4 linked regions of the Lepisosteus oculatus genome follow. The protein of the gene in region 4 purifies or fractionates together with the protein of the main gene of each other region. This does not show direct contact. Links are inferred from orthologs where the notes say so. Each region holds a gene or a part of one and is shown on either strand. Other genes may lie near its edges.

Region 1 (7,232 bases), on a different chromosome or scaffold from region 4:
CAAATCTCTCCTCCAGACACACTTATGGCACTACACACAGAAGATTAGCGACGAACACCAAGTATTGAAACATGTAAAGACAACAATTGAATCTGCATTGAGAAAATGTCAGACTTTGCTTCTCTTGGAGAATGGTGAAGGGGTCAGACTCCTTATAACCTGCCTGATCTTCCACGAAAACACTTTCTCGGGTCTGTCCTTGATATGATTTTTGTTTAGGTAGTTTGACTACATCCCACACACACACACACTAAAGAGCATTGGTCAAGCACGCCGAAAATCACAAACGGCTGAACGAAATTCTCCCGGCTCAGCAGAGAGAACATTTTTGCTCTCGTGCCAACATCATCGCTAGACAGGTTGGTTATCTAGACAGAAAGCGCTGCCATAAAATTCACTGTGGCAGAAATAGGATGTTCATCAACAATCTCCCTATAGAGTAAAAAAAAAAAAAAACTCTCGTCTGCCAGGCTCAAGGAAACAGCAATGACCGGTCTCACGCCTGGTGAGATTCTCAAGCATTCAAGTGGGACAATCGCTGTCCTCGTTACTGACTACGTGGACCAGCTCCCTCCATCTGTTGCGGCTTGTCTGGTTATGCGGCCGCGAAACCATTTGTCTTCGATACCTCAGAGGAGGGAAAATATGCTCAGTAAGGTTCTGCAAGCAGCAGCATGTCTGCTTGCGGAGCGCAGCAGGCCTGCCCCGGGCTGGTCACAGTTTCGAGTGAGAGGAGCTCACAGGCATGGCCGGCAGTGCAGATCACCAAGCAGCAGATCAGCTCCGGGCAGAGGGCCTGCAAACTTCTGAGCTGTTCCGAAACCAGCGCTCGGCCTCGAGGGGGGGTGGGGGAGGAGGAGAAGTCGCACAACTGGCTGAGCGATGATCACCTTGCTGCCTTTCAGCCGTCCGCTACATTAAGGCTCTTTCGGGTTCGACAGCCTCCCGCTACTTCAAAAGAAACATTTCTACCGCTTTAAAAAAAAAGGCAGCGCATCTCAAGCTTCACCGCAGGTTCGGGCTTGGCTGAAAAAATAAAGCCTTTTTTTTTTAAAGAGAGAAAAATCTGCATTGCTAGTACAGATGATCTAGAGATCACACTCGGCAGTACGTATCAGTGGGTGGGAAACACGGTGAGCCACTTGCTCAGCGAGGACTGTTCACTTAGGCAGTTCTCGACAGAACACAGCCACGCCTTGGACTTGTGGTTAAGAGTTCAGAAACACTACCTCGAAAACCCCACAAACAGCTACACCAATTAGTCACATCTACGGAGTTTTCACAAACAAAAACAGCATGCCTGCCAAACGGTGCGTTATTAAGCCTCCAAAACCTTCTCATTGCATTTCCTTACTAATTCTGCCCATCTAGGTATTCGGCTGTATGTGGCAACACTTGCCTTTCCTCGCTAAAACAAAACAGTCGAAAATCTTGGACTGTCTTGTCTGTAATCTCGCGGGCACAAAGGGCCTATTGATGGCAGAGGCAAAGTTGGAATGTCAATAGAACAGATCAGGTGTCTTGCGTTTTAAACTGCACAGGAAAACCCTTGACCATTATCAATCCTTTCATTTGGAGAACATGCGCGTGCTTCCCTGACAGACGCTGGATAAAGATGTCGCTGCATCGCTCGTCACCTTAGTTCAAAGAAGCAAATTTTCATTTAAATGGGCCCACAAAGGAGAAAAGGAAAAGTCTGGTGCTGAACAAATTAATCCCAAATCCATTCAAGAGTTAGTCAATAGCAGGAAGTCAAATATTTCTCTGAAGTGGCCTTTGGCCTTGTGACAGACACACCTTAAAGGCTTGTAAGCTATCAAACCCACAAAACACTTTTGCAGTTCATGCGATCAAACATCCTGGCCATATCCATAATGACATCTATCTATTGTACTGCCCCGACTATGAAAGAGTGTTTAACCACAAACCTAACCTACTTCTGTTTTTTATTTTCCTCAAAATGGTATTTTAAGAACCTGCATTTAAGGCTAGGCTGCCAGCTGACTATAATCCACTGACCAGAAGCCTTGAAAATCAGACCAGAAAAAAATGGAGCCAAAATCAGACACTAAATGAGGGTTTCAGTTACTTTAAGAAAATCTCTCCCCCAGACACTTTTCACACTGCACACAGACGACTAACAACAAACAGCTAATGTGAAGTAGTAACACAGTGTGTTAAAGGGCAACACGGGCTTTGCTTAAAACTAAAGGCTTTATTTAACGTATTCATATTTTCTCAATAAAATAGCTGGGAGGTAGTCTATCAAAATCAGTCATTAAAAGGCAAAGTGAGATGTTTCCATCATAAAACGTATAGAATCACTCAAAACACTGGGCTCACAGTGCAAAATCTAATATTCTGCGGGTATAGTGCATAAAGGGGACCAATGAGTTGTTCAATTTCGTAAGTACTCCTGTAATCACTGAAGAATACATTTTGACGTGCACCTGTGAAATCTGTTTTGAATAAGTTCATACTATACCCCTTGCAAGCTTTAAGCAGTCATACAGTATCGACATACATTACCTAAGATCAGGGTTGCTTTAAATATTTCGAGGTGAACGTGTTTAGACAACTATCAGCACGCAAGAAATAAACCTTCAACTGTTTGATGAAGCTACAGAAAGGAAAGCACGTCCAGCAAGCGGCCAGATTCAACCATTTCAAGAATGCAGGACAAGCAGCTGCCGTCCGCCAGCCACGTCCTGGAAACACAAGTTTCCCCAGCAGTGACGGAGCACGGCTACTTCCAGGTTACATGTTGACACTGGCACATATGAAGGCATGTTCTCCCGCAACTGATGGCGAACTATATCGGCAGTTTACTCTTCAAGACGATGAAAACCGGAGCACCTCAAACACCCAACGGCAAAACGCGTGCTAACTAACACCTTACATTTCGTTTCCCCCCCAATGATAACACTATTGAACCAAGACATCTCGCCAGAGATGCCAAACCACAATTTGGGCGTAGGAATACACAAGACGTCAATCTTCAGTTTTTGAAGTCCGATTTCGTCGCATACTGTATACGCCTGTGTGGCGGTCACGCCGTTAGTCTTCACGTTGAAAAATAAATTGGCAAATTTCAGCTACTAGGAAGCGGCGGCGCCGTGGTGTTAAAAACGATTGGGCAAGAGTCGGCAAATAAGGTGCAATTTAGGAGGAGATTACCAGCATTACCTAATGTACCTGGCAGCGTGGGGTGCGTTTACATCACATTAATGCACTAAAGGTATTAAACCAGAAGATCGGCTGTACACAGCAGCCTATTGAACAGTAAACAGTCACGCTAATCAGAAAAGAGCGGTTCTCTTTTCCATACATAACTACGGATAGCTGGACAAAAAAAAACATCTTACACTTCACGTCTCAAGTTTGTGTGCATTACTTACTGGATAAATGCGGGCTACTAGTGCAGAAAAGAATCGAAAACGGAAGACCGCGTGAGCCCCTCCATTCCCTCAAATAAAAGTTTCTCAAACGAGATCCAAAACGTTACACGTATTTAAACTCTACATGCGTTTCCCCGTCGGCGAATGAGCCATTCCTGGATTTAAATCAAGAGCCTCCAGTCGAAATATAACAAGATAAGGAAAAGACACACCCTCCGGACTAGCGAACCAGACTGATCGCGAAACGGTGGAAATGAATGGGAACAAGATCTGCCGTTTCCCTGCCGATAAGGGACGAGCCGCTGTCGGTAAAAACGCAGACAACTTTAAAGACGGGCCACATCGGGGGGGTATTTTCGAAAAGATTTTGAAACCCCGTTTTAATCCCTTCGAGTTTCGCTGCAACATTCACATTTCCTGTCTCCGGCTCCCCACACTTCCACGGGGAAAGAAAAAAAAGCCGAGGCATCCACTTCGCATCTCGGAATTACATCGCTTTCTTTTTTTTTCCCTTTCTTACCTGAACATAATTGTTTTCACAGTAATCAGCGACCCTGGTGAGGTTCTGGTAGCTCTCCACCAGAGCTCTTTTGCCGGCTGGAATTTCTTCCTCTAACAACATCTGCAGCTCTGCCATCTTACATCTCTCTGCATTTCTTCTTCTCCTTCCCTTTGATCGAACCCACAAGCTCTGCCCCAGAAAGCTGCTCCTCCGCCTGGTATTGTGGGATTCCTGGCCTCGCTTTCGCCACCGCGACCTTTCACCAGCCGGGCTCGCGCACACGAGCACCGCCGCAGCAGGGAGACGCAGGAACCCGCAGAGGTGCACGCTGGGACCTGTAGTCTTGAAGCGAAACCTCGATGATGACACTGTCGCTATCAAGTGTGGGAAAAGACACATTTCGCGCGTGTATGTATACGTTGAGAGAGACTGGAAAGCCATTGCTGATATAGACGGTTAACTTTTACGCTTTGCGTAGATGACAGAAGATATTCTCTCTTTTCCGCCACCCCTGCTTTAACGTGATAATTGTCTTTAACTATTTGAACTGTTCTTCCTATCCGCTGAACGTCGGTGAAAAAGATGTGACTCGTATATGTATGTATGCTATACGTAATCTAAGAGTGTATTCTTAGAACTAAGCTTGATTTTAATTATTTTGATACATTCATCAGGCATTTAAAATGATGGATATTTTATGCTTGTCTAAATATCGTGAAAAAATATACATTGTTCTTTAGACGCATGTAAGAAAATTAATACATTTCCAGAAATCTTAAATCCTGTCACACGCAATTCTGTAAAAATATTATGCATAGATTGAGACTTGATACTTTATTAAGGCTGTTAATTTATTAAAATATCCTCTATATTACTACAATTCCCACAAAACACTATATTTAATACTGCATTGTGGTTTTTGTAGTCAATTTGACTGAACTCTGTTTTCTGGTACACTCGCCCGTGGCCTTAAAAAACTACAAATCCCCTGGACGTAGCGCTAATGTCAGATTTGTGTTGGTTCCTATTTAGAGACGTATTTGAGAAGTCAACGTATTTACAGTAGGTACATCATGTTTATCTAGTATTTTAACTATTTAATATACAAGGGTATGACAGGTATACGAATTTTGAGGTGTGGACGTAGCTAAGTCTGTGCAAATTTGTTCTTTGTAATTTTGAACTCTTGTAACAATTTAGCCCTATGTCACGAGAGGAATGACCTGTTCGGCAAATACTGTTTACGTCTGTGTGCCGAGTGATTAATATTTAATTCTCCTTTTTAAAAGCTCAATGAAACTTTGAAATGTTGAGTTGATCAGTGCAGTAACTAACCATGTAATTATTCAATTTAGTTATAAAACCGTTTAACAAATACGTCGTTCTTTTCTGAAGACTGTCGGTACTCAAAAGTACACTTTAATCTTATATGCAGCTGGTGAGCTGCTCCAGTTCATATTTGTAATCCCCAGGTTTAAAGATTTGTCGCTGACTCTTTTGCAGCCTCTGTCATAATGGCGGATGAAAAACCAATCCACGAGCAACGATTTGATGCTGCAGTGAAAGTAATTCAGAGTTTACCGCAAAATGGTAAGTGCTTCGATTTCTGCTTTATTACACGAGACTACCTGCAAATTACTTCTGGATAATAGCACCTTGATCCAGCAGGACTTCGTGTTAGTTTTTGTTGGTAGCCGTGTGTCTGCGGAAATGAAAATCTATCTTTCATTTAAGGCATTATAGATGAAGTAAACTGAAGTTTACTGTAAACAAGTAGTAACGGGTCCTTTGTTTGGGTGCTGAAATTACAATAGGTTACTGTGTTGACCCATTCCTGTCTTGTAAGCATTTCATTTGAAAGGCAGTGGATGCAGCTACCTGTTCAGAGGAACTTTCTACTCAAATTGGATCTTTCTCCCAAATATTATATTGCAGTGCCCCTGTCTTTGCTGCTCGATAACATTGTCTTGGCTTTAGCTGGGGTTCCATGCAGTAAACGTGGTAATTTGGTGGATACAGTTTTATATATATCTATTCAATTTCGTTTTAATGAACTGGAACACCATGTGTTTCATCCCATCGGTAGAAGACGATTGGTTATCTTTTCAAAGATTGTTTTAGCAATATAATCAACAACATTATCACATTTCACCACTCGTGATGCTGATTTGAGTAACAAAATCGCGAGAGCCCCTGGCCTATCCCTGTGCGAGAGTGTTCAATGCCAGGGCCTCTTCAGAAAATAACTATTATCTTTCCTGCAAGTTAGACAAAAGTCCACAAAAGCTAGTAAAAGCTCTAAAACATTACAATAATATATTCTTAGACCTCTTACACAAAGCTTTGGAAGTTAATTAAAATTATGAAGGATAAGTCAATTTAGGTACTGCCAAAATACTGTTATGACAACGAAAAACACATTTAATTCAGTCACTGAACATCTCATTTATACTGATATGGTTGCGTGTTTTCTAGGTCAATTTTTAACAACAAGGCTGATTTGGTTGAATCTGTTGTGGTCAAGTTCCAGAGTCCCTTCATTTTTATTATGCAGCAAGTTACTGAGTCAATACAAACTGAACTTGGAAGACTGACAGTGATAAGACCTCTGATCACAAGGGTATTGAACCAGTTCTGATCAAATTAGACACTCATTTAATATCTACTCTGCTGTTTCATTTATTCCAACTCCTTGTAATCCTAACAGACTCAGAATAGTCCCTTGTTCTGTCTCTGTTTTGAAGAGGCTGTTAAATCAGACTCTTGACTGCTGTAGATCTGTATTCACTTTTCCCTGCCTTTCTAAGAACATGTGAAAAATTGCTCGCAAACAGTTCAGCTCTTTTTAGACAGTTTTCTTTTAGCAGATACACAGCCTGTTTTCTTTCAGGGTGTGATTGCCATCTTAAAGGTTCTCAAGGATATTATAATCACGTTGGATCAAAATCACATTTCTGCAGCCTTCTCGATTGTTTTATCTACAGCGTTTGATATGGTGAATCACTGTATACTTCCAAAAAGTTGCATTTAGGATTCATGTTGTTTATAAAATCTCTCATATGATGTTGCTATTACTTACACAACTACAGAGTGAATATACTACTTCTGTTAATAATAAGATAGTTTGTTGCACACCCTTTAAAAGTCCATCGGGTTTCAATCACTGGTCCATACGGTCTTCTTCATGTGTGTTAGCAGTATTGCTCAGTCAAAAGATAAGTCTCTTATCTACTTATATGTGATGACCATCTTACACTTCACAGGATGCACTTTATCTTTAATGACTAATCTTCAGTTTTGTTTACACAGAATTCAGTAGGCTTTCTATAAAC
Region 2 (7,450 bases), on a different chromosome or scaffold from region 4:
AAGCAAAGCACCAAACCCACTGCACAGTACTGAATATCCCCCTGCTTCACAGCCCGAGATGGACTCGGGGAGAACAGGCACAGGAACCTGGAGAGCTGTAATTCTAAATAAAGAGGGTAGCTGTACACGTTAGGCTCTGTTGCAAATGCTTTAATTCTGCAAGGCATGATGGCAGATTTCTTAAAATGATAATTGTTCATGTAGTTTAAAATAATACGTAAAAGCTTAACAAACAACAGTGTTAATTCAGTGCAGCACAACACTTTGCCCTGTTAAAAATCAGTGAAAATACAAACATTATTTAACTGCTATACAAAATATGTCCATACAGTATGTACTGTATAAACACTTAACCAGCTGGCAAAATGTGGTCACTAAAAGGAAAATAATTTTAGCTATACATATGTTAAAATTACAGGTTTAAAAAACTAAGAAAAACAATTTTCTGCTGTAGATCTCTTGGAGTATTACCATTTATGAAAGGTACAGTACTTATGCATTTGCAATGAAATACCGTCTAACTGTTTCATAGAGCCTACTCACAATGAAAGATCAATTCTGTTCAAAAGCGAGATGTACAGACTCCATTTCGCACTTTTTGAATTATATACCAGAGTAAACAACTGGGGTTATCAGACACAGTACCCACAAATAGTAATTCACACCACAGTGTATTCAGCAAATATTTTGCTAATTTGAATTTGTATTGGTTAATTCTTCTCCAAAGCAGAAGGAACCACTTAAGAAAACTGACTGAAGCTGTCCTGTTATAAAATACTTCATCTAAATAACATCAGCATTTCACAGTAGGGTAGATTTAATGCACCAGCATGGTTTCTTAGCCCTGTGCTAGATGAATCAATTAATGTACTTGAAACTGGTGTGCTATAAATGCACACCGCCAAGCTGATTCCATTGAAATCTCTTGGCTTTAGGCCTCTTTAATGCAGCCTGATAGGATTTCAGAGTCTCCTTGTAGGTATACTTGAGCACGGTCTGCCTACAGAACGCAGTTAGCTGTTTAGAGCAGCAACATTAAATTGTAAAGGTTTCTACATAAAAACAGCTTGTTAATTATTCAACAATGCAAGCACTGTGACATGTTCACAAAGCACCATGTATTAAAACAAGCAGCACAACTTAAAACAAGAGTCTATCCTATATGGACCAGCTGGGAGGCAAATATTAAGACATTAAATAACAAGTTAACAGTTAATACAAAAAGTTGACTAATCACTCTCTTTTATAACAGCTTTCCAGCACAGCATAATACACCAAACATCTTAACTGTCATAAAAAAAATCAACCTATAAGAAGAATACCAATTAAACAGGAACAGTGCTGTTGTTTCTCCATTCTGGTTCATACAGGACACAGGGAAGTGGATGTGCAGTACTCATGTTGATAATGTTCGCACACTTTCTGTTTTACTTATCTTGGTAAAAATCTATCCATCTCTCTCAATTTACGTTTCCTACAGCTGCGGATAATGCCACACAAACGGCCTCTGTGGTGTGTCCATTTCTCAAGCCTGTTTACTACATAACAACAGGATAATTGTTTAATATAGGATATTAAACAGGACAAGTTTTTTCTTTCATTACACCAAGACAAATCTTCAAAAACTCTCTACCTGATATTTCACCTTTTCTCTAAACAAAGAACGTCCCTCAATGCCAACAAAACATGTGAAGGCACGCATCTTTGCGTTCACAGATCAAGGACATTTTTCCAAATGCACATATTGTTTCACACGTCTATTTTAAAGAGAGTGTGCAATGTTTAACCACAGACAAAGTAATTAATAGCACAACTGCTAAGACCATTGTTATAATAACACACATAGTAATCTTAAAAAGATCAAGTTTAACATCACTCCGACTACTACCACTACTATAAGGCTGGAACTACATACAGAATGTAGCGATGGGCATACAATAACGTCAGTTACTCTGTGGCTGTTATCCGTAAAAACAGGGATTATGTACAGTCAGTTTCACAATGTGAAGTAGCTTAAGTAACACAGGAGGATACCGCACTGTAAGGGTGCGGTTATAGCATGCAGAATGACCCACTCCCAGTATATCCCCGATATATTTAGGATGGACAGTCGAAGAACACCAGCCAGGAATGCAAACCTAACTAGCCTAACCATTCACTGACGAAATAGGCGAGGGAAGTGTAAAGTAACATGTTAACCTTAATAAAAAACAGAAGCCAAAGGCTCGGACGGTGACTTGGCGTCTTTTCCTCCCGTGCACGTTACAGTACTATACCTCGCTCAACACCCGGGCCACCAGAGCAATTAATTTCCAGTGACCTTAACTCCCCGGGCCGGGTGAGGAAAACGCCGCTTCAAAGTCGTGATCTCAAACACATCTTCGCATTACAAGACAAGACGCTCGGACTCTGATTTTATTTTCACCTCCACTAACAAAATGTATCCTGTGAACCTTCATTTAAATAGTAAAGAGCTGGAAAGGCTACAGTAGATGTATTTTGTAGACACTGCTATCATTATAATACGGTCTGCCGTAAACAGGCGTGCCCAATGTTAACTAGTGATGATGACGGCAAGAATGCATACCGATTTAAAAGGATCTATGGAAGATATTTCACACTGTGATCGTCTGAAATTAACAGTTAAAATACGGGAACAATGGGCACATGCAGAGTGAAACAAACTTAGTAATACAAGTGGCCAACTCGTTAGGCTATACACTGTACTGCGATCGGCGGCAGTGATAATGACAGCTGGCAAGCAGCTATGTCTCTGGAAACGCTGAGGACACAGACGATTACATATCATGTAGTTTTACCTCCCCATATCCCTAGTTTGAGCTGCGAGCTGTCCAGATTCACCACGTAGTCGCCGAGAAACCTGTTCAGCACGTCAACCACCACAGACTCGAACACCATGTTGCTGTCTTCACTCCACAGAAACCATGTTGTCAGCCAACCTCGAAACTATCTAGATTTCCTGAAATAACCACACCGGAACTAGAGAGGAGGTCTTATGCGCGAAGTCGGCACTGAGCATTGAATTGGGCACGCGCGTCCCACATGGCACGCGCGTTCACGGATTAACGAAGTTGACACTGCTGGTGGACTTGGAAGATCCAAACGCCTTGAATTTGGGAAATTAGCCTAAACGTCGCATGAAGAAAATTAAAATGTTCACAGTCTTTAAAAGACTACAATAAATCATTAAATATTTAATACGATGTTTAGTAACGAAACACACATGTCTGGTTATAACGCTCTGTACCCATCAGGATAGTGTGTTTAGGATAATGAAGATATTGCAGCAAAACGATTGCTTTACTGGGAGAAATTAGGGCATATAAATATAAACATAACGGTGCTATCCAATGAGTCAAACACGGTTTTTATTTAATTTATTTTAACTGCTTTTAATGTTTTTTTTTGTTCAGAATAATTCTGAGACGGACACATTCACACCAGGGCCTGTAGGAGGAAACCCTGCAGATAGCACCCCGGGTCTGGATCCTACTGTCACTACATTGCCATCACAACAAAGCACCAGCTGAGAGATATTCAATTCAATTAAAAGGCAAGTTGGAGAACTGTGTTACATTTAAAACCAGAGAACTGAAGTGCGGCGGGATAGTCCTTATATCTCGGCAGTCACAACTCCTCCAGTCAACAGTTTCCATGAAACCCCTCTGCAGGTATCTGTGCCATCCTGGGAATTCACTACTTGCACCCAAATGCCAGCCGTCTGTTTTAAAACCCTGACCTTAAGGTAAGTGGGTATCTTTGTGCAAAACACTTAACCTCATGACAAATGTCTAATATGACTACATGCTCTTTTTGTATTAACCTCAATAAGCAAAAATACCGGTACATTCTCCTTCCACAACAGCACTATTTTCTACTATCTTGTTTTCATATACTATGTTTCAAGGTTGTAAATGATCATAAGAATTTTATCAGCATCTTTCTTTGTTCAAATACATTTGCAAAACAGAGGCAAAATTAAAAGCTTTAGGTCAGGTAACATCCAGTGCATCCAGTGCACATGCTAAATAAACAGAACAGGCAATAATAATGTGGTAGTACAATATATAAGAGCTTTGAAAGGTGGTTGCATCAGAGTGTAAATGACAAATAATTACATGGACCCTTGCAAAGCTCTGTACCAGAGGAACAAAGAAATGTATAGTGTTCAAAGTGCTCTCATTGTGTGGGCAGCAAGTTATCAAAATGGTTTTTAATTAAGAAAATGTGATAGTTCTCAGAAAGGACTCAGATATTTTAGACTCGCAGAGATAAAGAATATAATGTTGGTTTTCAAATGGACTGGAGCTATAAGTTATTTGTCAAGGACCCACCTTTCTTTATTGACTTTCGTCTAGATTCTTGAGGCCACGCAATGTTTGCTTCTCTTTATTGTTTCCGTACTGCTACATGAAGTAACACTGATACAGCATTAGAAGTAAGATGGTCTACCGGGTTTAGTTTTGTCAAGCCTCAATATAATTTGTATTTTACTCCAACACAAATATATTACACCATTGCAACATTTTTTCTTTGGCTTTAGATGATCCATTTTTACCCATGCTTGTAATCTATTATACTCCTTTTCCCTAATTGGCCCTAATTCTTTTTATATAATTTTCTTAACTGCAATCTTTCTGCTGATTTGTCTGAATTAATTTATTAAAGTGATTTTTAAAGCTTTCTAGCCTTTGATAAGGTTACTCTCAGGATCAATTTGTTCTGTGGATCTAGCAAAGTATCTTTAATTTTTAATAATCTGTTCTCTACAAATTTCATGCTTATCCTACTCCATTCTCATTCTCTTAATTTCTGTTTTATTCTTTCACAGTCCGCTCTCCTGAAATGTTTTCAGATTTTCCCAAATAAGATTTTCAAGTCATTTGTTTATTTTTCAAGGATACTATATTAATTTAATTTGCTTATAGAACTCATTGATAACCAATGCCAGTTATCCATTGTCTGCAAAAGTAGCACACAACAGAAAATATCTGTAAATATGATTTTATTCTCCTCTACAATATAATTGAAGTCAGATTCACAGAAGGTTTTGCACACAAGTGTCTGCTTGCTAAATGTACAAAATCACACACAGCACGACACATTTATACATAAGGGAAACATAACTGGGCCGTACAACCATGTTACCAGAAAAAAAAAGAAAAAGTATATTGAGGCAGACAGAATTCTTAACACTTTTACATGTGAAAAGGTGGTAAAAAACTATCTTAAAAATGCTCAAATAAGTATTTGAGCCAGTAGCATTTATTGCATTTCTAATACCTCTCAGTATATACTGTATTTATACGATTTTTTCTTCATTTTTTATGTAGTCAGAAACACATTGTTAAGCACAACTGGCTCTTGATGAGCAGTTTACTTTAGACAGCAATGAGCAAGTAGTCTGCAAAGAAGCAATATAATTAAGTCTGAAAATAGTAAGGAACTCTGCCTGAAAGACAATTGAAGAAAAATAACATAATTGAGCTAGTGGCTTACTTAGCTCGAAGCAGTGCTCATCATACGTTCAGTTCCTTGGTAAAGTCCAGTCTATTACTTGTTTTAACAAAAACTATCTCAAGTGGCAGTAGTGAAGCTGAGGCTGTTTTTAAGTACGACTCAAAAAAGCAGCTGTATAAGAATCCAAGAGTGAAGATTAATACAGTATTAACATGCTTGTTTGTGCTTTAAAAGCTGTTTCTACCAAATGACAACTCGAGAAAAAAATCTTGTCCAGAATCACAAAACACTAAAGAATAATTCTGTGAGAAGTTATTGTCATCTTTTCAACAAATGGTGTTTTGAAAACAAGAACTTGCATGTGTTAAGCCAGCATCTAAGGGATCAATGACACAGAAAAGTTGTAGTTGCTAGTTTCAGAAAATGAATTCTGGTTTATTCCATTTTATTTAATGATGATGAGTAAAATTCAAACATTTGTGGGGATAATAAATATAATTCAGTAAAATATATTTATATTCACCTCTGGTGTGTAAATCAGTCCCTTGTATTTTATCAAAGGGTATACTCAATTTTTTAGTATCAGGTGTACCCACCTAATCTGTATGTCAGTTCCTAAATGAATATAACATACTGTACATAAAGAACAGATTCACATTCAATACATCCCTGGGGAAGGAAATGTTATGTTAAGGAGCTTTAGAACATAATAAATACTCAATAAGGAAGATTCCAAAAGCATAAATACTCTGAAATAGCGTGTAGATGAATCAAAAGCCTTCACACATACTTTAAAATACTAAGAAAATAAAACATCCTCAGAACTGTTACATATGAATTAAAAGGAGTCACGTGTCCTTCTTTTTCATGAATGCTGGACACGTTGTATTGAATATCTGCACATTTTGTTTTCATAAAGGCAATAACTGGGAAAGAGGCTTTGAGATAACACCCAGAAGTGTGTCCCGCTTGAGGCTGAAGGCTTTGTTAATGACCTTAAATTTCAAGGACATACTTTGGAGATCTTCTTCTGTAACCCCATCAAAAAAGAAGTCCTCGTTGAAAATGGGGTTTTTGCTGTTTTTGATTATGGTGCTGTGCTGCTTTTGCTGTTTGCCTGGGACGAGACAGACAATGACACAGCAGTTAATGTGTTTTGCCTCAAAGCTGCAATCATACAGGTTCTCCACTGAAACCACGCGGACTCGGACTGTGGCGCTACTAGAATCATACTCTAATGACAGCCGGATGCAGCCCCTTCCCTGAAGAGGAATGATATGCTCTCTCCGTAGCTTTTCTTGGCAGTGTAACAGGTCAAGGGGAAACAGCACTGGAGGGGAAAGGGAACAACCTGGAGCTTCTGATTTTCCTTCTGATTCAGACTTTTCTGAGGTACATGGACTTGTATCACCAGAGCTACATTCATCAGTAGAAAAGGAGCTGTTCCCTCCCAGAGACTGCTTCGAACTGGATCTGGAAATATCCTTGAGAAAACTCTCTTGCCCAAACAGTTTGAAGAGACAGGTGCCTGAAAATGATCGAGGTAGCACGGGGGTGCTGTGGGGCGAGGATTCATTGGAGGAAGGGGTGTTATTTTCTGTTGTCCCCTGCTTCTTGAGTGAGTGTGTAATATTTGTAGAGCTTGTGTGGCTGCTTGATCTTGGAGCCGCAAACTTTTTGTTGGCTATGTGTTGTTTCCTCTGTAAGGCGTAGCTTGCAAAGTCTGTGTGAAACAAGGACTCTTTTCTGCGTGTGTTAGGACTTTCATATAAGCCTGTCAGACTGAAACATGCTGCTGTGTGAGGTAACAGCACTGATGGAAAAGAAGAAATTAGGTCTCTTTGTTTGCTTTTGTTGGTGTTCTCCATATTGTCCAGAGTGCAGTCGTCTGCTTTCTCTATCTGTATAAAAAGCTGATTAGCCAGCTTCACAAGGTCCTTGCCTTCATTATTTTTGCAGTAACTTTCTG
Region 3 (7,732 bases), on a different chromosome or scaffold from region 4:
AATATTAACTCAGAAATCAAACATTGAGACTGGTATTTTGTTATCCCAAGGGATGAAGCTAATCATACAATCACAAAACCTTTCTGCACGCTATTTAAAAATGACAATAACATTATGCATGTGTCCAATCAACTTCTGAAATAAACCTTTAAAGACTGTTGCATCTTCATTGTGCACAGATGAATAAAACCTTGTACTAGAGGAATAAATATTAACTAACAAGTTAATAGTTGCTTAATTAATGAGGACATTTTAATCTGTGGGCAATCACTATTAGACAATGACAAGGTTAGAATCATGTTAATTTGTAAAGAAAATTGTCCACACAGGTTTCTGGTGTCCATGGTTATTGCTAATCACTGTGAAGGTAGAGAATATAACAAGCTTAATAAAAGCAAAAGACAAGACTTCTCTGAGTTCACCAAGTGCTTTACTTTAAGCAACACTAATAGGGATATTTTGTTTAACTTTTTAGACCAAAACAAAACTGTGGCATTAGCAATTAGAAGATAATGGGTGGGCAGAACCCAAGTTAATGATTTAGACCCGATTTCAACCATGCACAGATTGTGAAAGCAACACAAATAATGATGAGGTAAGAGCTGTTTCAAAAGACATGACCAGTGGAGACCTGGGTGAATTTGTGGTAGATTTTTCTTTCTTCTTTCTTGTTTTACAGAATTGTCTTCAATAATTTAAACCAATTTACAGAATCAGAAAAGGGAATGAAACACATCTTCCCTAAGAAAAGTCAATGACATACTAGACAACATTCTTACTCTTAATGTACTGTACTGTAGCTCTGTCAATGTACAGCATAACAAGACAAACCAGTCTAGTTTATCTAGGGATTTATGCAATACACTGTAGACGTTCTTCCTCTAAAAGCTCCACTGTGCAACATTCATTTTCACTACTGTAGGAGTTAATTAAAAGTACAAGAATTCAGTAGTAGAATAAAGAAAACAGTATACTGTTATACTGTGGTTGACTGAGTCATTTCATTACTGAAGTGGAGAAAGAAGAATGAAGATACTCAGTACCTGAAGTTAACATTTTTGCCAACAAAATGACTGTTTCAATGGGATTCTTGTAGGAGGTTAATAACTGAGGAGAAATAGCTAGCAACCAACATTTTAAAACTGGCCTCCATGACCGGACCTGAAAATGTTTAAAGAATATCTGTATAATACAATCCATGTGAAGGAAAAGAAGAATAATGATTGTTTTACCACTGTCTAGTTATACGTCATTATCCATGACACTGAAACACCCATGAACATCAGCAATGTCAGGTGTGTCTCTGCACATTAATGTGCTTGAAACGGAGTTACTGTCTCACAGGGAAACGGGTCACAATTTTGGGCACCTTTTTATTGTGGCAGAACATGGCAAAAGGCAATTTTAGAAACACGTGCTTGGCTTCCAAGAATTAAGCTCCTCCCATGAAACTACTCTACTCAGGCCTTTCTAAAGCCTTGAGAAACAAATGCAACACTAGAGTCCATCCCCAAACATATATTATTCAACTGAATGCCATTCTATTGTATTAGACAAAGAATAACAGATGACAAATATTTTATGGACAATGTCACAAAATACTGTCTTGATAGATATTTCAGACACTACAACATCGTATGAATGGTCTTAAAATTTTGCCTTTTGCCATCTTTTATATACTGTACATTAAGTACATCGATATATCCAAACTTCTTTAGGAAAAAGCAGAAAAACTAAGTCTAGAAATACTGCCCAGTTATCCACCTGGTTATATTGGCTGCTATTAAATCCTATTTGCAGGATTAAACTCTCAAACACATATCATATTGACATCATCTATCATTACGTTTTCTGCACAAAAATAATTCATTAGAAGCTTTGTCTTCATCTCAAACTGGTTTTGTCACATAAGTGAGAGCAAAAAAGAAAATGCTGTCGGCTCCAAAAGAACTGTGGACAATTCCACTCTTCAAAAATAAGTCAAGACAAGATCACTTGCCCTGGAGCAGTTAGGGTTAAGGGCCTTGCTCAGGATTCCTCTGCTGGCCACAGGATTTGAACTGGCAAGCTTCCAGCCACAGGCACAGCCTCTTAGCCACAGTGCCACCACTCCACCCAAGTTATACACCATAAAATGAAGTAAAATGAATTATATTTTAATTAGAAATAAGAGGTTTCTTAATATTTGGATGCCAAAAAACGCAGACCGCCCAGGATATTTCAGTTTCTCATTTAGCATTATTTATAAACAAGTAGAGAAGAGTATTATCAAATCTCACTTGTGGCTTATCTCTCACATGCTAAAGACTCCTTCAGAGGCGTTGATTCTGATTGAGAGGCGACGTTAGCATTCATCAAGACACTGAAAAACACAAACCTTGCTGGGCTCGTACACTGTGTACAGCACCCCCCCTCCCACACACAGCAGTGTAAACATTAATTATGGACGTGTACACAGCTGGGTAACCGTATACTGTACACCTCAAATGCGACAATCAACACATCTGTACTGCGTTGAATAAATCAACATACTGCAAACTTAAGACTTAGGCATTTTCGCTCGTCATGTGATGTGTTTTGTAATACACTCTTGTTCGCTCAGTTGGCTACAACTGTCGAGACTGACATGTTTTGGCCCTGAACCATGAGAGTTACTTTCCTGATTCCGTCTTAATAGCAATAGCTACAAAGCAGTGAAAACGTTAACATGCACGCAGAATCCTACCTCCCCAAATGCCAATCTTCAGCTGAGACTTGTCAAGATTTTCCACATAGTCGCCTATAAACCTGTTTAATAAATCGCTGACCAGAGACTCAAACACCATGGTTAAACAGCGGTGCACCCTGCCTCCGTCTTAAAGAAGCAGCTGTCTCGATGCAGTGTGAGCAGCACAATCCCGTGATGCCTGGCTCATCCCTTTTGTAGTACAAGTGCTAAACCGAAAGGGTAGGATTTTCTGTAATCAACTGGTTTTGCCTGAGCTGTACAGTATACTGGCGGCGGACACCGTCTGCGGATGCAGTCAATCAGTGTGACCGCAGCGGTATTACGGTAATTCAGCCTGCGGGTGCAGTGGTCACCCTGACCTTTGAACCGACTGTCATCGAGCTGTTTGCAAAGGTTTGACAAGTTAAATGAAAACGATTAAGAGTTTTAAGCTAATACATTTATGGCGCTTATAGTCACTGCAATAAGATATCTTAGTGTGAACCCAGGTAAATGAGAAGTAATTAATGACTTAGAAATATTTTAATATATGATGTAATAATATATATTTAAGCAATTAACAGCGAAAGAGCTGGCACTTATCTAAAATTAATCTTTTATCAGATGTGGTTGTTTCGTATATTCAATTCAAGTGTTATGCTGTGATACTTTATGTTCTGTAAATATGTAACCTTGGAAAGAATATCAGTTTAAGAAGAGGAAAATATAACATCCTATACGCTTGATTTCCTGCTTACTTCTTACAATCTTTAAATGTGTGCACTTTATGTTACTCGTCGAAACTACTAAAGTTTGTTAGTAGTTTGTTGAGAAGGCATAGCCGTGTAAATTAATATATACAGTACACCTGAAGACAGTTCTCACTGTAGCTGACTGAATATTCATGCACACCTTTCAGTTGTTCAACGTGTTTACGGCTCTTTTAAAACCGCTGAAGGCTTGCAGAGCTGTTTCTTGGTATACTGTTTCAAAGACATGATCACTTCCATACCGAAAACTGGAACGTGTTTTATAAAAGTGCACCCTCCTGTAGTTCCTGTTCAGTTCGGACACTGGATTTTTAACATCATTAGTGTAATTTTTGCTTCTGCTGAATGCTAATATTTTTACTATGAATACTATTTATTTTAGTTAAAATAATTTGTGGATAGAACTTTTATTTTATTTAGACGGAATTCCAACACACCTACAGGTAACACGTTTACGTTGTTCCAGTGGGAACTTCTACACTACGATCTCCCGATTTTCCATCTCATTGTTTACAGATTGTAAAGGCGACTCTTGATAATCTCTTTCTGATCCTGATGTTAAAATGCTCGTACAGTACTAGTAGAAGAGTGCCTAATGATTCATATCAAATCACTTTCAAAATGTATCAGATTTAAATTAGTATTCAACTAAAACTGGAATACAAGAATTAGGAATATTACTATTCATATATAAAGATTCAAAATTCTGAACACAGTAAGTGTATTCCTCACATCACAATAAAAATACATCACATTTACCTATTTTGTTTACTATTCTACATAACCTTTTTAATTTGTTAAAGAGCTTTTGAAAGCACTGGGATATGTATATCTGGAATTATACCTGTAGGATTTACAGCTGTTACTTGAATGAAACTAAAGCAGTTTCAGTACTTCTTTAAGAAGGAACCCCCTAAATGACTTGCTCTTTACAGAAGAAAGAAATAGATTTGTTTTTACAATTAGTAAATGAATATATGAATCAAGCTTGCCTGCAATAAAGGAGACCTGGATCTCTGAGGGTGCTGATGTTTTCTTTGACAAGGATCAACTTGTGCTGTAGTCAGGTATAATACACAATAGCCTTGTTTAGACTGTATTTTTCTATTTGTAGGTTTACTGTATGTGGCTCACAAACTGTTTAAAGGACAAGGACATAAAGATGAATACAGACATTTATCGTGAAAGTATTTTGTTACTTTGTTTCTAATACAGTAGCTGTTCTGTATCGGTATGAGGAAAAAAGAACCACCCAACACCTGAGCATGTTTTTCAAAATTGCCATTTAATATCAAACCAGCATTTAGCAAAGTATAAAAGTATAAATAAATAACACTTTTTGCTGTATATACATATAAATAGTAAAAAAGGTGTCCTGTAGAATCATTATGCAGGTGAAATGCTGCTCAGAGGGAGCTCACAGTCTCCCAAAACATAATCTCTTTTCATACTTGACATTTTGTTAACAACTTTAAACCTGAGAGACCTGTAAGACAGCTCTTCTTCAGAAATTCCATCAAAGAAAAAGTCCTCGTTGAAAATAGGGTTCCGGCTTTTCCGGATCACAGTGCTGCGCTGCTTCTGGATTTTTCCCGGCAGAAGAGAGATGCTGACACTGCAGTTGATGCTTTTGGGATCCACGGACAAGGCATACAGTCCTTCTGCACTGATCAAGCGCACACGGAGCCTCTGATTCTCTGGGCTATACTCAGCAGAAAGTCTTAGGGTCCCATTTTTCCCCAGGGGTATGAGGCTTTCTTTCATGAATCTATCCCTGTAGTACACTAGGTCCATTGGGAAAATTGCAGGGGGGGTCAAGCCATAGGGACAGGGCATGGGGTCTATCAAGCCCTCAGATGCTCTTCTCAAGATATTTGGGCTGTTGTCTGTTGAACTCCCCTCGTCTGTTGACAAAGAATTGTTCCTGCACACTGTTGATTTCTTCACAGTCCTGGACAGCAGCTTCTCCTGGCTCAGTGCCTTGAACAGAGAGGATTTAGGGGGAGACCTGTTTAACATGGGAGAGCTGAAAGGGGAGGACTCTGTGGATGAAGCAGTGTCACTGTCCAATGTGCCCTGCCTGTTCAAGCTGAAACTTCTGGGGGAGAGCCTGGAAGTTATGGCGTTCAGGCTGAAGGTGGACGAGGAGATTTTTGAGTACGTGCTGGACCTGCCTCTGGGAAGTACCACTGGGATCCCACAGGAGCCGGGATCGTTGTGGAACAAAGACTCTTTTCTCCTGGTGTGTGGGCTTTCAAGCAAGGTGCAAAACCCATAGGAGGTCTGGGCTTTTGCAAGATGGGGCAAGGACAGTGCAGCTTGGGACTGTGGATCAGCATTGGTGCTCTCTTCGTCACTGTATCCATAGTCAAAGGGCATCTCGTCCACACTTTCCACCTGGATCACATGAGTGTTGACCAGTTCTCGGTGCTGGGGAACGTTTCCAGGACTGCCCTTTTCCGAAGAGGAAATCTTAAGGCTGGGAGTGGGTTTGTTCAGTTCAGCAGTCTTGAGGTCCTGCTGGGAGGGGAATTTCGGCGGTATGCAGAACTCGGGGATTCTGTCGGGGGTGATGATATTAGGGCACAGGGAGATCTTTTTGTTTTTCGCAGACGACATCTTATCTCCTCCAAACATGATGTCTCCGATTTTGAAACTGTATTCCGTTATGGGGAGAGACAGGCTTGTTCTTTCCACAGACACGCGGATTTTGTCCATCACCCACATGGGCAAAAGATCAGAGAGAAGAAGCGCACAAATCTGTAAAAGCAGAAGACAACTTGTGAGCATAAGTGCTGATATATAGCTGGCATTCTGACGTGTGTCATATATGAAATTATACAGCTGTCTTGCTGATGTGTAAAAAAAGAATTCACATTATTACAAAAATCTATGATAACATTAAACAATGAATCGGTTTATGTATAAACATAACTTTATGAGCAAAAACCAAGTCTTAAGCTTACCTTCAGAGATTTCAGAAATTCAGCAATGCGTCTTTAAAGACGGGTTTGCTGAAGAATTACCATAAATGGTCCAGTGTTGTCAGAGAGCTTCTCAGCTGCAGGTCTTCCCCCACTTCAGGCTTGCTCAGGTTTCTGGTGTGCTGAGCGCTGCGGGCTGTATAAATAGGGCTGTGATGTCTGGAGCGGCTCCAATCCCATTCAAGCGCACCTCCCATGTGGAAGGAAGGAGCACGCTCTGGAAGGACCCTCCCCCTTTTCCTAGTAGACTGTAGTCATGGAAATGGTGAAACCACAACAGTACTCTTCACGGGCATGAGCATGCCTCATGAAAAAAAAAGGTTAAACAGATAAGCGATGGAGAAGGTAAACTGCTCGTAACAGAATAATCAAAAAGTTTTTCGATACAATGAGAACATTTAATTCGCTTATTTGTTTTTCCATTTTCGTGAATGTGCACACCGGAGTGAGATTATCTGGGTCAAAATGTAAGTGATGTATTAATTCCTCCAGCAGCAGGTTTATAAGAACTAACAGGTACTGGAGGTATATGTACTGTAAGTAAGGTTACAAACATGGGGTGACTATCTGGTTCATCTAGCTCTTTTGATACAGTAGTTCATTCATCAGAGGATCTCATCCAGTCTTTGCTTCCTAGAATCCCGAGTTCTGCCTTCAACAACGTGGCTAGAATAACTTTGTAAAGGTCTTTCAGGATTTTGAATTCTTGGATCAGGGCATGTCATCCAAGTAGTCAAAATCCTATACAGTATGTTTAATGTTGCTGGCTCAGTCATAACTCTCTCATGTTGTGAGCTGCATGACAGTACTGTCAAAGGCCTGCACATGTACCAGCAGGTGAAGACTTTTAATGAGTATCCACAGTAATATATTCTGTTGATCGAGTAGCCTGAACTGTCATTTAAAAAACATCAAATTTTTAAAGTACTTGCCTGCTTTTGTGTGCATCTATGCATGTGTTTTTGTTTGAAGTAAAAACCATGAAGTGTAAAATTACCAAAAAACTTCTACTATTTATGTAGAAATTAGCATTTATGTAACATTCTACTGTGTTATGCACTGTAAGGACAAATTACTGCCTGCAAGTCACTTTGAATATCTACAAAAATATATACTGTATAATGTATGAAATGTGCAACTGTTTTGCATTTATAAATCAGTTCATTTCTATTAATGATCATGCAAAACAATCCTTAATGTACAGTATGCAGTTAAAATGACTTTTCTCTAAATTATTCTTCAGTAGTTGACTCCATAACTTATTTTAATCA
Region 4 (7,194 bases):
TGTTGCTGTAGTTAAAAGCAGTACTGCAAGATTCATACCAAGAACCACACATTTACAAGAAAGGAAAAGAAACAGGAAAGCTTCTGACTGTTTCTTTGGCTCTTGTGCACCTGAATTAGTGAAATGATGGACAGGGCCAAAGGCAGGAACTCACCTGGATGGCAGTGAGTGGTGTTAAGAAGTGTGAGTGAGACTGCGTACCCCGAAATGCCACACTAGCATCAAAGGGCTTTTCTTGTATTTGCACAGCTTAACTTTATTACTTAAAAACTCCTTGGAACACCCTGAACCACTGGAAGCACCAAAGACATTTTTCTAGATTCCCACCTAATTACATTTAATTGTCTGCAAAATATTTCCGATAAAAGCTGTCCTTGAAAACAAGGCAGATCTTTCAAGTGGCTCTCTGGAGGAAATTCTATGGAGCTCTCTCGGGAGAGAGTTCACCAATGCAGGGCCTGTGCCAAATATTAGCAGCGCAGTTCCATTCAGGAAAAAATGCTCTGACCTGGACTGGCTAATCGCTGGAGGAGCTCTCATCTCCACTATGTCAACAGAAGAAGAAAACCACAAGAAACTGCTTGGCAACAGCCTTGAAAAATAGCCCCCCAAAAGTTTTCAGTCGCACAAAAGAAAACCACAAAAAGAAGCCTGTCTGAAGGACACAGATGATAAATCAATGACTCAGAATGGAGGGAAAAAAAAAGATTTAGGAGCTGGATGGTAAACTATCTTTCCATTTTCAGATCAGAAGGGCCTGAAAGTATTCTCTGCCGAAGGGTGAGAGCAGTAGCCACCCCACAGGGCAAAGGGCACTAAAAACAGGGAGCAGAGAGAGCCGTGCTGGCAAGATCAGAAAGTGGGCGCAGTGCAACAGAGCAGTATAAACGGGTTTCAACACCAACATTCGGCATTCCTCCTTTATTCAGACACGAACGCTAACTTCTGCCAAAAACCTAGGAAGGTCGGACAAAAAATTGATTTTATTTTTTTACAGTTGTGTTACAATTAATTGTGATGAGTCCCAGAGGGACTCAATCGTCTAAAAAAAAATGTTCACCGTCACCGAGCCACACAGGTGTGAGAAAAATAAATGCAGATCTGAATGGATTAAGATAAAGGTTTATTTGCTTTGGAGGCTGAAGCTTAATGCACATATAAAATGCTGCAGGCCTACACTCTAAAACACAGTCTTACAAAGCCACGCAGACAAAATAAAATACCCACGGTCTGACACACGCAAGCAGGCAGCGACTGAGGGGGCACTTCTTGACCCAGAGGCTGATGGGAGAGCAGAACAAGCTGCCCACCCACCCAAGCGTGCCATTAAAGATGACACCCCGGGCTCTTCCAAGAAATGGCTGGGTGACCCGACTGGTTCTGGTCTCATTTGGAAGCGCTGTTATTTTCATGTCACACGATGATCGGATGGCCCGAAGGAGCAGAAGGGAGGTCAGCAAGACGGCATGTTACCATGGAATTTAGAGGTCCAAGTTTTTATTTTTCCCCGGGAAGATCCAGGTTTTTACACGGTGTGTGTCTGTATATGGAAGAGCACACCTGTACAGCAACACATTTTTACCTTCAAGGAATTATATACCATCACATCCGCAGCGGGTGCAGGGTGCAAGTGAGGCCACCAGACATTCCCAGCTAGTGGACTGTCCAGAGGCTGCGACATGGGCCCGGTCACTCAGGACTCCCCGGGATGACACAGCCTGTCCACGAGCCACCTCCCTTTGCGTTCTGACAGGGCTGTTGACCCAGCTCACGCCAAGACATCCTGGCCTCTGCCACTGTATGGGCTGGTCACCACCGAGCACGTGTGGGACATCCTATTCACTGCCCTGGGCAAAACCACACCGCTAATTCCTCTCCAGTGTCCAGAGTGGGTTGTAATCCCACCAGCCAGGAGTGAGGATCTGATCCACAAGCTGTACCAGCACATTGCTGGCTTTAAAAAGAGGGAGAAACTTACACCAAGAAGAAGTTTATTTACATATGACAGTCACCATTTCAATCTCTGCACAGGAGCATCTGCACGACTGCATCTCTGCAAGTACGCTTGACTGTTGTACGTGCTAAACACCCATCTAAATGCACACAGAGCTGGACTGACATGCTGATCCCTCATAACGTAAGGCTCAGAAGGCTGGTTGTTGTGGCCTAGCCTCTACAGATGACCGCTCCTTTTCGCACAAGCCGGCCGGCCGGCCGGCCGCCCGTCGCAAAACAAGAAAACGCAAACGCCCCCCCCCAAAAAGAAAGAAATCAAACCCACAAACGAGATCAAGCGCTGGAGTGAGGCGGCCTGTACACCGTGTGCAAGAGCCGAGCCGAGCCGGCGGCGCTGCAGCACAGACGGCCGCTTCCCCGGAGACGGGCCGCCGGGCGACAAGGAAGCAGAGGCGCTTGTGATCCCGCTGCAAGACGGTGGGGGGCTGGGGGGGTTCAGGGCAGAGTCATGACCCTAGTCAACCTCTCCGAAAGGGGGGGGGGGACACATACACACACAGCGCCAGATACGACTTCCCTGCCGTGTCCTAACGCCTAGGCCGCGGGACCAAACAGGGTACGCCGAAGGGGAGACGGGGAAGGAAACGCGGGGGGCCTCTGCACAGCCCTGCCTTCCGCGCCGGCGAAAGGCTGCCCGGCGGCACGGCTCCATCTGCGTCTTCCCCGGCGACCGAAGGGCCCACACCAGCCCGCTATGCGCGCCGCCCACCCCCCTTATCTCCTCAACATGGCCGCCGCCTTCAGAGGAGCCCACCGCACACACCGTCGGCTGGAGACGGGCGGGCGGGCGGCTCTGCTCGGGCCCGCCTCTCCTCCTCCTTACCTCGGAATTTCAGTTCGTGCTGCGGCTCTAGAAGGAGGACCTGCTCTTGCCTGGCCATGTCCCGGCGGTTCGGAGCGGTTCGGCGGGCTGTCGGTCCGGGAGCGAGGGGGGTGAACGGTCGCTCGGTTGCGGGGAGCGCGGCTCGAGCTGCTAGCGGCAGTGATGATGCAGCAGGAAGGAGGTGAGAGAGAGGCTGCCGGTGACGTCACGGCCCCTGCATTACCCAGTCGGCGGGGGGGCTCCAACTGGCCCCGGGTGCAAGGTGTGTCTCTCTCTCTCTCTTCCCCCACCTAGGCTACAGCACTGAATAACCGATTCAAAAAATAATGACCAAAAAATATATATATTTTGCATCGGGGGCCCATTGTACAGCTTCAGGGTTAAGAACAGTGTTAACAGCGCACCTGAGCCGCTCCTGTGTTAAGTTGCATGAGCTTCAGGAGTGTTTTACCCATCTTGAGGGAGTACAGAGATGGTTCGATCCGTTTCGGGTTCCTTTGTTTTTGTTTTGTTTTTCCCCCACGAGCTCCCGTTGCACACGTTTTACCGATGCAAAAGAAAAGTACGGGGGTCAGTTTCAGCTGTGCTGTAGCGCAGGGTCCGCGTCGCTCCGCCGGTGGGCGTGGTGCCAGTCTGAAGGGGTGGAAGGTCAGGGCGGCAGGACTCTGGCCTGCTCAGCACAATTCAAAGGGCAGCGTTGAGCGGGGAGGCACATACCTCCAGTACGACATATATAGAGATGGAAGCTGCTGGCTCTCAATCTCACTGATGTCACCGTAACTTTATCCTCCTGCTGCCAGCGAGTAATCGCAGCTCCCCCAGCGGGGGAACATTCCGCAGAAAGATCCCCTGGCCGTCATGTGGAAGAGTTAGGATAAAACATCGACATTTTCAGATCAATTACTTGCATACCTTCTAACCTCTTGGGATTGGGATTTAAAAACTTTAATGCGACGATGGATTTGGACTCATATGGTGATTTTATCAAGTTTTTGTACAGGTATAAATCAAAACTGTGTATGTGTGGGTTGATTAGGGGTGGGGTATACTGATTGTTCGCACTGGTTTGTAATTGACAGTCATTGTTTTGCTGGGTAAAGATCTCTTTGTACATCTGTACCAAATCCGGATTTTAATCTTTTCACAGGCTTCAACAAAAACTTGATCTGATGACTTTGTGGGAAGCATGGACATCTGGTCAGAGGGTACTAAAAGAAAAAAAATCCAATCTGAAACTTTTTTGCATTGGAACAGATGCCACTGACCAGACGTTGTGTTCTTTAATAAATGTTTTTATTAGTAAACAGCTTGACATTTCCCTTTTGCACATTCAGAAATACATAGTAAAGTGATTTCAAGCATTTTTATTTGTACAATCGATATGAAAATATTAAAGCTCAATATGACAAATTATAGATGGAGTATTTTTTGGGTGGTGCCTTTGCAAACAACTCATGGTAAATAATGATATGACTTAGCTCACCTTCCAAAACTGTATTAGGGTATTCACGTATTTATATATACGTTTGCATGGTATCTACATTAAAACATTATATAATTATAAGGGAATTGCTACACTGTCTCAGGACCAGCCCGAGATAAGGAACTTCAAGAGATTTCTTCAACATTGTTTATGTTTATGACTGACAATCTCCTTCACACAAAAAACACTACATATTGCAAAGCAAAAGCATCACATTTCATGCACAGAAGCTAAGCCAATGCGTTACTGCGCCTGATACAAGCGGTTAAATATTCTACAGCAGCTACGATATGAAGGCACCAGACCTGTTAGCATCACTACTGCAAACATGAGCGAAGCACACACGCTGTCGTACCACAGTGCTCGAACAACAGTTCACCGATGCAGAGCCGCCTTGCCCTTCCCAAAGGCAACACGGAAAACGGCACATCCAGGCTCAAATTCCAAAAGAATGAAGACTCGGATGTGCATCTTTTATCATTCCTCAACACACTGCACTGTTTTAACACGCTGATGAAAGGTTTGATCCGTAGCGGAAGGAAGCCTTTTGAAAGCAGGTTGGTTCCGATGGCTAAAAGCTGGTGATCACTGAGGCAGGAGCTCTCCACTCCTTCCCAACGCTTAACGATTCCCATACAGCCCCAGCAGAACACACTAGACAGCAGTGCTTTACTGCAAACTTGCTACACCTTACCAACAAAGTAAGCGATGATTCACAGACAACTGGACCAAAAAATAAGGAACCGAGTATCTAAAAAACAGAAGGCTTTGACTTTAAAGCACTTTCCAACACAGCAATATCAAGGGACATCTTTCTGCAGTCAGGCAGAATCACTAACAAACCTTTTAACTAAAGTGGTAACATTTTCACTACAAATGAAGCCTATTTATAACACCAAATTTGTATTCCGCTGAAAAAAAATGTCTCTTTTCCACACCTATATTAAATCTCTTGCTTGCACCTTTAAATTTTTAAAATGTAGCACTTCAGAAAGCTCAGCCGAAAGAAGATAACTGTTCATGGAGCAATTAAAATCATTATAATATTTCGCTCCTCAGTGTGCGTGCCCTGGTGTGACTGAATAAATAACCAGTCTGAAATCCACAAATAATTTAAGCAGAGAAGCATTTTTGACTGAAAGCTGATGTACCGTACAGGGAAGACTGACTCTCACTGGACTAGTTTGTACTTAAATCAGACCTTGCTCTGGGTTTGGATCAAAGTCCTGCTGTTGAGCCAGTGTCTTAAAGATGTGGCTCTAATGTGCTGCTGATAAAAAAAAGCAGCACTCCTTGGAATCCTGCTTGGAGTCAACTGCATTACCTTTGGAGACCTCTCATCTTCACCATGGCTCATTAAAACACATCTCTACACTGCCTCATCAGGAACAATCTGCACTGCTGAGGCGCTCAAAGGTCTACAGGGTGGCAAAGCATGAATGCAAGATATCACTGCACACTCACGACTTTAAAATAAAGCTTTACACAAAATCACAAAGTGCGAAACCAAAAGCCACAGACTGCCGCTCAAAAAGCATAGGTGGCTTATGTCCAGACATTAAAAATGACTTACAGCTTCACTAAAGAGTCCCTTTAAAAAATGGGTTGGTCCATCTGTGTGCAACATGCAAATAAAAAAGTCACATAAAAAACACATTTAAACAATCTGAAACTCTACTGGGTAGTTTTCTTTCCTGAAAAGACAGTAGAGGCTGGAGGCACACACTTCTCTTCAGGAGCACAAGGGCCTGTCATACTGCCTACACATGCTTGTCTGAACCACTGAGCCAAAACATGAGCTCCTTTCTGGTTTCTGCCTGTAAATAAAATAAAATTGCATTGACAAAAAAGAAGAAGTTGAAGCAGTGTCTAACATCAGCTCCACACGAGGTATGGCTACTGCGCTTCAATGCAGTTTCAGTTTCTGTGAGAAATGTATACAGGTGGAAACAGTGGTGGTTTGGGTTGCTTTAGTGTTAAAATTAATAACCTGATTACTATGTCAGATCCAATTGATAACATTTCCCGTTCAAACAGCATTCGGCATCTAAGGAAACGCATTATATTGAAAATCGATAGATATTCAATTACTCTCCCTTTGCTCTCATTAACAGAGCAACAACAACAATAAAAGCCATTCAGCAAAAGTAGGCCAGAAGAAAAGATCAAACAGCTCAGCTGAAAGGTGGAGGTCAGATGGAGGTCATACTTTCCCAGACTGCATTGTTGACCAAAGATGCATGATTTAAGGCAAGAATGACTCCACCACTGAAAAACATGTGAGCGTTTTTGTGGATCAATTCTTTAATTTCCACTTTCCAAGTAAAAGCTGTCCTCTGTCCCCACTTGCTGCAGAGCAACAATAACATCTCTTAAAACTAACCTTGCTTGAGAAATGCCCAGAAGACATTTCTTTTATCCTATTTAAGTGATTACAAAACCAATTAAGAAGCACCACACAGCATCATAAACAAGATCATTGTGTTACAGGGCTCTTGCGCTTGTATTTTCTTATTTTGAATGGGTTTTTTTTTTTGCTGAAAAGATGAAAATCCAGTTTTGCTGCAGAGCTTCTCACAGATATGGAGGGTTATAAATGCAGGGCTTTTTCCGTTAATATTCTCTAGCATGTCCTAATCTGTAATAATCAAAAGCTTGTTTCACAAGAAAACAGTGCAATAGCTCAGTGCTAAACTTCATCAAACAGCCATTGGCCTAGGTATGAAAACCACCTCAACAACAACAAAGCGAAAGGCATCTCCTTAGGGATAAGAGCTCCGGCACTTGGATACAGGGAACACTACAGGAAGAGCTGTAGGAAGAGCTGGGATAGACACGCCACTGGTTTAAAAAAAGTAACCAGCTCACAGGC

Evidence for each region.
Region 1: the proteins of vapb (region 4) and acbd5a purify together in Homo sapiens (affinity purification with mass spectrometry; 4 studies listed by BioGRID and IntAct, counting the BioPlex papers as one, with this or other methods). This does not show direct contact. The link is inferred for Lepisosteus oculatus from reciprocal best matches to the Homo sapiens genes VAPB and ACBD5.
Region 2: the proteins of vapb (region 4) and vps13a purify together in Homo sapiens (affinity purification with mass spectrometry; 3 studies listed by BioGRID and IntAct, counting the BioPlex papers as one, with this or other methods). This does not show direct contact. The link is inferred for Lepisosteus oculatus from reciprocal best matches to the Homo sapiens genes VAPB and VPS13A.
Region 3: the proteins of vapb (region 4) and vps13c purify together in Homo sapiens (co-immunoprecipitation; 3 studies listed by BioGRID and IntAct, counting the BioPlex papers as one, with this or other methods). This does not show direct contact. The link is inferred for Lepisosteus oculatus from reciprocal best matches to the Homo sapiens genes VAPB and VPS13C.

What each region holds. Positions count from the first base shown.
Region 1 is NC_090701.1:40,793,993-40,801,224, reverse strand, and holds the start of acbd5a (acyl-CoA-binding domain-containing protein 5A), read left to right. Parts: upstream 1-4,227; 5' UTR 4,228-4,259; coding exon 4,260-4,308; exon of another isoform or gene 4,309-4,497; intron 4,498-4,874; exon of another isoform or gene 4,875-4,966; intron 4,967-5,016; exon of another isoform or gene 5,017-5,035; intron 5,036-5,403; coding exon 5,404-5,490; intron 5,491-7,232. Other genes in the region: abi1a (abl interactor 1a), read right to left, coding at 3,919-4,035. UniProt on the Homo sapiens protein: Acyl-CoA binding protein which acts as the peroxisome receptor for pexophagy but is dispensable for aggrephagy and nonselective autophagy. Binds medium- and long-chain acyl-CoA esters.
Region 2 is NC_090698.1:59,497,105-59,504,554, reverse strand, and holds the start of vps13a (intermembrane lipid transfer protein VPS13A), read right to left. Parts: upstream 3,015-7,450; 5' UTR 2,920-3,014; coding exon 2,820-2,919; intron 1-2,819. Other genes in the region: C2 calcium-dependent domain-containing protein 4C, read right to left, coding at 6,393-7,450. UniProt on the Homo sapiens protein: Mediates the transfer of lipids between membranes at organelle contact sites. Binds phospholipids. Required for the formation or stabilization of ER-mitochondria contact sites which enable transfer of lipids between the ER and mitochondria.
Region 3 is NC_090700.1:57,745,223-57,752,954, reverse strand, and holds the start of vps13c (intermembrane lipid transfer protein VPS13C), read right to left. Parts: upstream 3,003-7,732; 5' UTR 2,826-3,002; coding exon 2,726-2,825; intron 1-2,725. Other genes in the region: c2cd4a (C2 calcium-dependent domain-containing protein 4A), read right to left, coding at 4,864-6,204. UniProt on the Homo sapiens protein: Mediates the transfer of lipids between membranes at organelle contact sites. Necessary for proper mitochondrial function and maintenance of mitochondrial transmembrane potential.
Region 4 is NC_090711.1:1,779,151-1,786,344, reverse strand, and holds the start of vapb (vesicle-associated membrane protein-associated protein B/C), read right to left. Parts: upstream 3,011-7,194; 5' UTR 2,898-3,010; coding exon 2,840-2,897; intron 1-2,839. UniProt on the Homo sapiens protein: Endoplasmic reticulum (ER)-anchored protein that mediates the formation of contact sites between the ER and endosomes via interaction with FFAT motif-containing proteins such as STARD3 or WDR44.